2 linked regions of the Saccharomyces cerevisiae S288C genome follow. The protein of the gene in region 1 binds, or shares a complex with, the protein of each later gene. Each region holds a gene or a part of one and is shown in the gene's direction. Other genes may lie near its edges.

The links. Proteins that work in one complex are often made in the same cells at the same time.
Region 2: the proteins of SHR5 (region 1) and ERF2 are in contact, whole or in part, in a cryo-EM structure (PDB 8HFC), measured with the Saccharomyces cerevisiae proteins. Residues at the interface, in NP_014531.1 of Saccharomyces cerevisiae: Arg17 (codon at 3,181), Ala18 (codon at 3,184), Leu19 (codon at 3,187), Phe20 (codon at 3,190), Phe21 (codon at 3,193), Tyr23 (codon at 3,199), His24 (codon at 3,202), Phe26 (codon at 3,208), Ser27 (codon at 3,211), Tyr28 (codon at 3,214), Phe55 (codon at 3,295), Pro56 (codon at 3,298), Val58 (codon at 3,304), Tyr59 (codon at 3,307), Ala60 (codon at 3,310), Ala61 (codon at 3,313), Arg62 (codon at 3,316), Phe67 (codon at 3,331), Arg74 (codon at 3,352), Arg77 (codon at 3,361), Phe79 (codon at 3,367), Asp80 (codon at 3,370), Glu81 (codon at 3,373), Ser82 (codon at 3,376), Arg83 (codon at 3,379), Leu86 (codon at 3,388), Glu87 (codon at 3,391), Tyr117 (codon at 3,481), Asp118 (codon at 3,484), Ile119 (codon at 3,487); in NP_013347.1 of Saccharomyces cerevisiae: Tyr115 (codon at 3,611), Ile119 (codon at 3,623), Ala122 (codon at 3,632), Ser123 (codon at 3,635), Ile125 (codon at 3,641), Arg126 (codon at 3,644), Thr129 (codon at 3,653), Leu135 (codon at 3,671), Pro136 (codon at 3,674), Asn138 (codon at 3,680), Ile139 (codon at 3,683), His140 (codon at 3,686), Leu141 (codon at 3,689), Ser142 (codon at 3,692), Gln143 (codon at 3,695), Leu144 (codon at 3,698), Arg145 (codon at 3,701), Tyr148 (codon at 3,710), Gln149 (codon at 3,713), Pro151 (codon at 3,719), Gln152 (codon at 3,722), Glu153 (codon at 3,725), Tyr154 (codon at 3,728), Ile158 (codon at 3,740), Thr159 (codon at 3,743), Leu160 (codon at 3,746), Pro161 (codon at 3,749), Thr162 (codon at 3,752), His163 (codon at 3,755), Ser164 (codon at 3,758).

Annotation. Positions count from the first base shown.
Region 1 is NC_001147.6:106,044-111,761, forward strand, and holds SHR5 (Shr5p), read left to right. Parts: upstream 1-3,132; coding exon 3,133-3,846; downstream 3,847-5,718. Other genes in the region: putative serine/threonine protein kinase SKM1, read left to right, coding at 1-250; Rab GTPase-activating protein MSB4, read left to right, coding at 667-2,145; MDY2 (Mdy2p), read right to left, coding at 2,215-2,853; ZEO1 (Zeo1p), read left to right, coding at 4,254-4,595; INO4 (Ino4p), read right to left, coding at 5,388-5,718. UniProt on the Saccharomyces cerevisiae protein: The ERF2-SHR5 complex is a palmitoyltransferase specific for Ras proteins. Palmitoylates RAS2, which is required for its proper plasma membrane localization.
Region 2 is NC_001144.5:623,850-628,697, forward strand, and holds ERF2 (palmitoyltransferase ERF2), read left to right. Parts: upstream 1-3,268; coding exon 3,269-4,348; downstream 4,349-4,848. Other genes in the region: sterol homeostasis protein ARV1, read right to left, coding at 1-34; putative signal sequence-binding GTPase GPN3, read left to right, coding at 354-1,172; methionine aminopeptidase MAP1, read right to left, coding at 1,319-2,482; CDD1 (cytidine deaminase), read right to left, coding at 2,653-3,081; E3 ubiquitin-protein ligase IRC20, read right to left, coding at 4,835-4,848. UniProt on the Saccharomyces cerevisiae protein: The ERF2-SHR5 complex is a palmitoyltransferase specific for Ras proteins. Palmitoylates RAS2, which is required for its proper plasma membrane localization.

The DNA of each region.
Region 1 (5,718 bases):
TGAGATGATAGAAGGTGAACCGCCTTACCTAAATGAGGATCCTTTGAAGGCGCTGTATCTGATAGCTAACAACGGTTCACCAAAATTGCGTCATCCAGAGTCAGTGTCCAAGCAAACCAAACAATTCTTAGATGCCTGTTTGCAAGTGAATGTCGAATCAAGAGCATCCGTGAGAAAACTACTAACGTTTGAATTTTTGTCAATGGCATGCAGCCCTGAGCAGCTCAAAGTATCCTTAAAGTGGCATTGAAATTTAGCTTTTTTTTATTTAGGAGAAACAATATATATATATATGTATATACGTATGTATGATTCATATTTTAATCGCATTTTTATTTCATCTAAAACAATTACTCTTTTTGATTATTTATAGAAAAAAAACAACAATGATACGTTTGCTTCGCGTTATGTCAATAGAAAATGTAAAAGGAAAAAGAATGTGTTGCTATTCGTTAGGCGGATTTACGGATGGAAGACATATCTATGAACTGAGCTTACAAACGCTTTTAGCGGGGACAGTTAATCATTTTACGGATGATTTTATAAGAATAAACTATTTTTGAAAAGTTAGGATAGTATTTTGTACATTTGGCACCGAAGTAATTCAAAATCGAGGAAGACTCGCACACTTTTACAATCACAGAAGGCAAAACCCGGCATGACAGGATGATAATGTCATCAACTATGTCGACAGAAGCCGCCTTGGTACCGAACGAAAGTGTTTTTGACACAGTTTCGTCATTCAACGAAGACGATGCCAATTATAGCGTTCTTGATTTATACGATGACGACGATGAAGGGGATGATAGTTCTACAGTAGAACGAAAAGAAATATTGACAACACGTGAGCTTGAAAAAGCAAAGGCGTTTACCAGCTTAATCATGGCAGATCCTGAGAATTTTGATAGATATGGATTTAGCAAGAAAGGATATTTCATTAGTCAGGAAGAATACGACAAATGGTGGACAGAATATAATAGATACACCGAAAGAAGAAAAAAAAAGTGGGAGAACTTTCTTCTTAAGAATAAGATTGAGCTCCACAATGATAATCCTCTAGTATATCCTGCAAGGACAGATGAATTGTCAAAATTTGTTAGAAAAGGTATACCAGCAGAATGGAGAGGGAATGCCTGGTGGTATTTTGCTGGTGGACAACGACAATTAGACGCAAATGTTGGCGTTTATGATAGACTGAAAAGTGACTGTCGCGAGGGTGCCGTATCTGGTAAAGATATGGAAGCTATAGAACGGGATCTTTATCGAACGTTTCCCGATAATATACATTTCCATAAGGAGTCCTTCCAAAATGGAGAGCCGGCGATCATCCGATCATTGCGTCGAGTATTAATGGCCTTTTCTGTTTATGACAAGACTATTGGATACTGCCAATCGATGAATTTTCTCGTTGGATTGCTATTATTGTTCATGGAAGAAGAGAAAGCATTTTGGATGCTGGTTATTATTACCGGTAAGTATTTACCTGGCGTGTATGAATCAGACTTAGAGGGTGCGAACGTGGATCAAGGGGTGTTGGTGTTATGTATCAAGGAATATTTACCCGAGATATGGTCACACATTGAGTCATCGTATATGAATGGCAATGGCAGCACTGACCAGATATCAGGGCCAGCATCGGGGGAAGAATATCTCTGCAGGCTGCCTACGCTGACGCTGTGTACGGCAAGTTGGTTTATGAGCTGTTTTGTGGGCGTGGTGCCCATCGAAACGACCCTGAGAATATGGGACTGTTTATTCTATGAAGAGTCTCATTTTTTATTTAAAGTGGCTTTGGGGATACTGAAATTGAGCGAAAGCGAGTTTTTGGAGAGTAAAAGCCAGAAACTGTTTAGACAGTACTCTTCGTACACCTTCGGTGGTAGTAATGACTCTGATTCAACTTTCAAAAGATTAAAGAACAAGATTAAGACGCAGGAAGAGGCAGATATGGAGATTTTGCAAGTGATTCAAAATTTCCCAAAAAGATTGCTCAATCCGAATGATATCTTTGAGAAAGTCCTGATGAAGAAGAAGGTTGCGTTGAATGGTATTACCCAGGAAAAGATTGATCGCGGTAGAGAGTATGTGGCGATGGCGAGAAATAGACAAAGGGCGAGTAGCCGCCCAAAGGAAAGAAGAAAATAGTAAGCGCAACCGTGATAAAAAGCGCAACTGTGTAAAATAACAAGTATGTACGTACTAACTATACTAATCTTATTTGGCCAGAGACCAGCCTTTTTGTAGACGCTCCATGACTTGCCTAACCGCAGCCTGATCGTTCTCGAAATTGTTCTTCAGAAGAGCCTCGATATCATCCCAGGGCACAGTGAGTTCCTGTGGAGGAGCAGGAGCAGGGGAGTTAGTGGATTTCTCGGCTTCGGGTTCCTTAGATATAGTCGGATTCGGCTTAATCATGACTGTGATTGTGGAATTGGCAGGCGTGACCTTCAAATCCGATAAGAACAGGTTATCGTGGAGGACTTTGCCCTTCAAAAGCAGTTTTATCTCGCTTATGTGGGAGGCCTTTTCCTCGCTGATCAAGTGCTGTTTTATTTGTAAGATAGTATCTGATGGGCTGAAATCATGCTCGATGGAGAACTTGGGAGCTTGAATTTTCTTTAAGGTTAAGTGGACGGCGGCGTTGTCTTGACCTTGCTGATCTTGGTGCAGTTTTAACTTCTTGGCACGATTCTGCTTATATTTATACTTCAAAGTAGGCAACGGGACACCCAAATTGGTAACATCCTTCAGAGGTTTAGTATAGCTTTTTGGTAGCTTCGGTTCAGTTAAAGTGGCTAAGGTCAAGAATTTACTAACGAACTCGTGTTCTGGACCGCTGGCGGATGTGCTCATGATTAATTTTGTATAAAGTTATTATTCTTCGCTAGTTTATCTCTGTATCGGTCTGTTCTAACCCTTTTCTCCAACTATGTTCTCCTGTGCATGTTTTCTTCTTTTCGTTTTTCCTTTGTTTTTTTTGGTCGTAGTTGTCGCAAGCTCGGCCTCCGGCCTGATTTTAAAACTATTCCTAATTCAAGATTCGGTAAAAAAGATATATAATAGCTAAGGGGAGGAGAGGAATAAGAGGAAAAAGTTACATTAGAGGACAATACTCAATCTAACCCTTACTAGATGTGCGATAGCCATCAAAAGGAAGAAGATAACGCAAATACGAGCGAAAGGGCGTTATTTTTTAATTACCATGAGTTTTCGTATTCATTCTACGAAGACCTCGGTTCCGAAGACGCTAAACCCACAGAGCACGACGAAGACCACAAATTGTGTATTACACATTTCCCGAATGTGTATGCTGCTCGGGGCTCTGCCGAGTTCCAGGTGACCCGGGTGGTACGAGTGCCCCGGCGGTTCGATGAGTCTCGCAGCAGCCTTGAAACGCCACAATTTAGTACACAGCTTCCCGGTAGCGAGCCGGCGGCAATCGTGGGCGACGATGGCACTAGCTTTGTGCGGTGCGGGCGTTACGACATTGGGGATCACGTGTTTGGCTGCTCCTCCGTCTCGCCTCTGTCAGAATATCTTAGTGCGGCAGAGCTCGCGGAGGTTGTGCACCGGGTAAACGGATTCTTGCTGCGTGAAGAAGGTGAGGTGTTCGGGTGGCGTAACTTAAGTGGCCTGTTGCTCGATATGCTTACGGGCGGTCTGTGGAGCTGGGTTTTGGGGCCCCTTCTTTCTAGACCTGTGTTTCAGGAGTCTCTCGCGTTAGAGCAGTACGTGGCGCAGCTAAACTCGCCGGGAGGTCTGCTTCACGAGCGCGGTGTGCGCCTAGTATTGCCCCGACGGTCCGGGTGCCTATCCCTAGATTTCGTCGTGCCCCGACCCAAATAGTTAAACGTGTGGTTTATGGGTGCACCAGGGCTTTATCGTGTTTTATATCGATGGCGATTTGTGCCTCCAGTGTATTTTTGTATATCCAATTAAGGTTTCTTACCTAATTTTATTTTTATCATCTTTAGTTAATGCTGGTTTGCTCTGTTTCTGCTGCTTTCTGTGCGGTTCTCCTCTTCTCTTGTTTCTTCGTGTTGTCCCCCATCGCCGATGGGCTTATATGGCGTATATATATAGAGCGAGTTTTTACGTCGAAGATCATCTCAGTTTGCTTGATAGCCTTTCTACTTTATTACTTTCGTTTTTAACCTCATTATACTTTAGTTTTCTTTGATCGGTTTTTTTCTCTGTATACTTAAAAGTTCAAATCAAAGAAACATACAAAACTACGTTTATATCAATTAATAATGTCTGAAATTCAAAACAAAGCTGAAACTGCCGCCCAAGATGTCCAACAAAAGTTGGAAGAAACCAAAGAATCTTTGCAAAACAAGGGCCAAGAAGTAAAGGAACAAGCTGAAGCTTCTATCGACAACCTAAAAAATGAAGCTACTCCAGAAGCTGAACAGGTGAAGAAGGAAGAACAAAACATTGCTGATGGTGTCGAACAAAAGAAGACCGAAGCTGCCAACAAAGTTGAAGAAACTAAGAAGCAAGCTTCCGCCGCCGTCAGTGAGAAGAAGGAAACCAAGAAGGAAGGCGGTTTCTTGAAGAAATTGAACCGTAAAATTGCTTCCATTTTCAACTAATCACACTTGAATGTGCTGCACTTTACTAGAAGTTTCTTTTTCTTTTTTTAAAAATAAAAAAAGAGGAGAAAAATGCTGTTTATTCTGACCTTTTACATAAATTTTTCTTAATTGTATCTATCTAATAACTAATCAATATAATAATAATAATACTAATAATAATAATAATAATAATAATAATAGTAGTAGTAGTAGTAGTAGTAATAATGATGATGATGATGATGATGGATGATCAAAAGCCACAAAAAAGAATGCTCCGAGAATAACCTCGGCGGTTATTTCACGTCCCGGAGGAAAAAAAGTTTGATAAGAAAGTAAAAATATGAGCGGTACGAGAATCGAACCCGTGTCCCCACCTTGGAAGGGTGGGATGATAACCACTACACTAACCGCCCGGGTTAATTGTTATTAGTTGGTGAAACTGATCTCAATCACTATAACATTATGGTCTCTTAATAGCAAAGGCCAACCAACTGACTTCTTGCAAACTGATGTTCAATTTTAGCTCTAAAATAAAACAATGTAAAAGAAAGATAAAATGACATAAAGCACTATCGCTTCAACGGCAAACAATATTGAAAAAGTATCACATTATAGTAAGTTGAACACTAAAAGATTAAATAAATACTTCGGCACACTTTCGATGAAGGAAAGCATTAGTAGTAACGTATATATATCATTGTTGTTGCTACTTTTCTTTGTGGGATATGCACCACTCCCCTCTGCAAAGTGAAGAAAAGGTATGGGAAGAATTTCTTCGCTTATATTACTTACTTTACCCTACTCCTTGAATCACTGACCACTCTGTCCATCACCCAGCTCCCAAATTAACTCCTTCGGTACTAAATCCCGAATGTTTCCATTTTGTTCTTGTACGGGATCGCTGCTGCTGCTGCTGCCGGTTTTTGCCTCATGCTTAGCTATGATTTGTTTTCTCAGCTTTTCATTCCTTTCATACAACCAACTTAAGTAACTCAAGCTTTTCAGGTATATGATTAGTTCTGACCGACTTTCCTGGGGTTGCAGGTCAGGTACTACTGCTACCAGTTCGTCAAATATAGCTCTTTCCAATTCTCTCCTTTTTTTTTCAGACGAAACATGATTTATACGTATTTGACCATCA
Region 2 (4,848 bases), on another chromosome or scaffold:
AATCTACGGGCCGCATGCACGTTATGCAAATCATCGTTTATCACAGCTAATATCTACTTTTTGATGCGCTTCATCCGTTCACTGACGCACCAAACCTTCCTTCTATGCAATGACAAGAATTTCTCAGCTTGATTTATGCCATTGATGTTTCTGAATCATCAATTGTTCACATAGGGCTATTCAATTTGGCCCGCTGTCCCTAAACTGAAAAAATACTAAGAAAAATTTTGCAAAAAATCTAAAATGATGAGGTGAAAGATCAAAAAAGAAAGATCAATAATTAAGAGGTTGGCAAGTCATCCTGATCGTGAAAAAAACTTAACAAGTACAAATAGAGTAATCAGCATTGGAAAATGTCTCGCGTTGGTGTCATGGTATTAGGACCTGCAGGTGCGGGGAAAAGCACATTTTGTAATTCCATTATATCACATATGCAAACTGTAGGACGAAGAGCTCATATTGTAAATTTAGACCCTGCCGCAGAAGCTACCAAGTATGAATTTACTATTGACATTAGAGATTTAATTTCCTTAGATGATGTCATGGAAGAAATGGATTTGGGCCCCAATGGTGCGCTAATATATTGCTTCGAATATCTTTTGAAAAATCTAGACTGGCTTGACGAAGAGATCGGGGATTTCAACGATGAATATTTAATCTTTGACTGTCCCGGTCAAATTGAACTCTACACGCATATCCCTGTCTTACCGAACATAGTGCGCCATTTAACTCAACAACTGAATTTCAACCTTTGCGCCACATATCTTTTGGAAGCGCCATTTGTGATAGATAGCTCAAAATTTTTTAGCGGTGCACTATCTGCTATGTCTGCGATGATTCTATTGGAACTACCCCATATCAATGTGTTGAGCAAACTAGACTTGATAAAAGGCGACATCAATAAGAAAAAACTGAAAAGATTTTTGAATCCCGATGCAATGTTATTAATGGAAACGGAAGGAATGAATCAAGCATCCAACCCTAAATTTCTAAGACTGAACCAGTGCATAGCCAACCTCGTCGATGATTTCGGTATGGTTCAATTTTTACCTTTGGAATCTAATAATCCTGACAGTATAGAAACCATATTATCGTATGTCGATGATATAACACAATGGGCAGAAGGACAAGAACAGAAAGAGCCTAACGACCAAATAGATGTCGAAGAATAGTTATAGAGAAAATTATGTACGCTTGATTCATATAAAAAGAGGTAAAAAAAAAAAATAGCTTCTCATAATAACCAATTCGGACTCGGGAAAGTACAAGTTCAAGTTTTTTATTGGTTTCTATATGTATAAGATAAAAATACCTAGATCTATTTAATTCTCTGTCTTGGGCCACCTGGTGATTTCTTATTCCTGGCTGTTAGGATTTCAACACCATGTTCGGTAACCAACAGTGTATGTTCAAATTGAGCACTCAGTTTACCGTCTTGGGTGGTAGAAGTCCAGTCATCAGGCCAGGTCATATCCTTCCAAGTACCTTCATTAATCATAGGTTCGATGGTGAAAACCATACCTGGTTTCATAACACCAGGTGTTCTATTCTTGGCGTAGTGGGGAATATTTGGGGAACAATGGAAAAATTCACCAACACCATGTCCACAATAAGTTCTTACTACACTGCACTTATTTTCGGTAGCGTGTTTTTCAATATGATCACCTAACTCTTGGAAGGTGGTACCTGGCTTACACATTTTAATGGCTAGTTTCAAACATTCTCTTGAGGTCTCAGTAGTATTAAGAGCTTCCTTAGAAATGTTTTCGCCGACATAATATGTCTCATTCAAGTCTGCATGATAACCTTGGTAGTATAAGGAAACATCTAAATTGACAATATCACCTTCCTTCAAGACAGTTTTATCGGGCACACCGTGACAAATAACTTCATTGACAGAGGTACAAAGCGATTTAGGAAAGTTGTAATAATTAAGAGGGGAAGGGTAGGCACCTCTCTTAATTGTTTCATTGTGGACGATTTCATCTAATTCATCTGTAGTGATGCCTGGTCTGACATGGGCAGCGGCAATATCAAGAACTTCTCTACCCAACATACATGCCTTTCTAATCTTCTTAATTTGATCTTTCTTGTATATAGGGATGTTGTTAAGTCTATCATTTCTTTGTTCACTGACTGGTAGCCCATTAGCGGCCCAGTCCGGTTTAGGAATATCTTCAGGGACATACCTTCTTGGGGTAAGTGGATATGAAGCCTTCACTTTACCAGAATATTTGAATTTTGGGAAAGGATCATAAGCACCTTCCAAGCCGTCCTTAGCATTGTGCAAAGCTTTGTGAGCTTTGTAGTTGTTTTCATAACAGCTTGTGTCGCAGAAAATGGAAACGATGCCTTGTTTTAGACAAACAGGGCATTTCATTTGGGACGAAGTTTCTCTACCACATTGCAAACCGGAGCAATATATCTTGGTAGGATGAGAAGCCTGATCGGAGGTAGTAACTGTTGTAGTTGCAGTGCTCATTATACAATTTTTTTGCTTATTTTTTTCTTGCTAGGAATATACACAATAGCGTTCTTGGGATGAATAATAATAATATCAGTTTTTCTTCTTTATATGAAAAATGAAAAAAAAAAAAAATAAGTAAAAAATTTTCGCTTTCTTTTCGGGGAGCAGCCAAATAAAGATTGCTGCTAGTTTAAATGAGATGGACCAAAAGCCATGGGCAGCAGTTCTCCCATTGTCATGACTTTAGAACGAGAACCTGTGGAATTAAGCATGACTATTGGAAAGTCCTTGACCACAAATTCATTGATAAACTGCCTGCAAACGCCGCAAGGGGAAACACACTGGTCCTCAGAATCGCCACAAATGACCATGCATTTCCATCCTGAGCGATGGCCTGCCATTAGAACTTGTATCATAGCAGATCGTTCTGCACATATACAATTACTGTAGCTTGCATTCTCGACATTAGCACCAGTGAAGATAACATCGTTATTTGTTAATATGGAACAACCGACACGGAAGTGAGAATAGGGGCTATAGGAGAGTTCACACGCCTTCAGTGCCGCCCTTTTTAAGGCTTCCAGTTGTCTGTCTTCTATGCCACCTACTTTCATTACCTTATTTCTCTGCTTGAGATTCTCTGTTTGGTTTTCCTAGTTTCTTGTACATAAACAGTTTGTGTTTATTTTGTCAAACTACTCGGAAATTGGCGAGCAGCGCCTTATCAAGATTACAGTTTGCAAATATAAAAATGTAAAGGAAAGAAAGCGTAAGGTAACAAGAAGAGAAACGGGGAAGATAATGGCCTTGGTCTCTAGAAGGTCGACAAGATCGGAAAGCACCTCAATAACAAAGGAAGAGCATACAGGAGAAGGTTCATTGACGAAGTTGTTCTTCCGATGGCTTGTTACCTTGGAGGGTGATCAGGATATAAACGATGGAAAAGGTTATATATCGTTACCGAATGTCTCGAATTATATATTCTTCCTTGGTGGCAGGTTCAGGACAGTAAAGGGCGCCAAACCGTTGTGGTTAGGTGTTCTCCTTGCTATTGTATGTCCCATGGTTCTCTTCTCCATATTTGAGGCTCACAAATTGTGGCATACCCAAAATGGTTATAAAGTGCTGGTCATTTTCTTCTATTATTTTTGGGTCATAACGCTAGCATCCTTTATCAGAACAGCCACTAGTGATCCTGGCGTTCTTCCGAGAAATATTCATTTAAGTCAACTAAGAAATAATTATCAGATCCCGCAAGAATATTACAACTTGATAACACTACCAACACATTCTTCAATTTCAAAAGACATTACTATCAAGTATTGTCCATCATGTAGGATATGGAGACCACCTCGGTCTTCTCACTGTTCCACATGTAACGTCTGCGTAATGGTTCATGACCACCATTGCATATGGGTCAATAATTGCATAGGAAAAAGGAACTACCGGTTCTTTTTAATATTCCTGTTAGGTGCAATACTTTCGTCCGTCATATTATTAACTAATTGTGCCATCCATATTGCACGGGAATCAGGGGGGCCTCGCGATTGTCCCGTTGCAATATTGTTACTTTGCTATGCAGGGCTAACCTTATGGTATCCGGCAATACTGTTTACTTATCACATATTTATGGCAGGTAATCAGCAAACAACAAGGGAATTTTTGAAAGGTATTGGATCGAAAAAAAACCCTGTATTCCATCGTGTGGTCAAGGAGGAAAACATATATAATAAGGGGTCCTTTTTGAAAAATATGGGTCACTTGATGTTAGAACCAAGGGGCCCAAGCTTTGTAAGTGCCAGAAAGCCACATGAAGCTGGAGATTGGAGATTTATGGATTTATCGCCAGCACACAGCTTTGAAAAAATACAGAAAATATAAGGAAGTATAGATATAAAGAACTCAGCGACACAGTAGTACGTAAAATATAAAAAGGTTACTGAAAGGAGTGAATTCCGCCATAGTATAGGTTGAGTATACGCAAATAAACGTTGGAAATTGGCTAGAATGTTAAAAAAAACATTCATTAAAAGGTTCTTTTCGTATAACTTTTACAACAAATAAGTGGTTGTTTGGCCGAGCGGTCTAAGGCGCCTGATTCAAGAAAATATCTTGACTGCAGTTAACTGTAGGAATACTCAGGTATCGTAAGATGCAAGAGTTCGAATCTCTTAGCAACCATTATTTTTGCCTTCCGAAAATTTTGAAGCTACATATTAGCACTCTTCTTCAGATGTCAGACAACGTGCAGCATCTTTTTTTCCTACCATTGAATATATATATAGTAATTACGGCAACCGTTTATATAAAAATTCAAAAGATTAAATATTTTAATATATTAGTGTCTGGTTTAAAAGTCATACTTCTCTAATCACTACCGT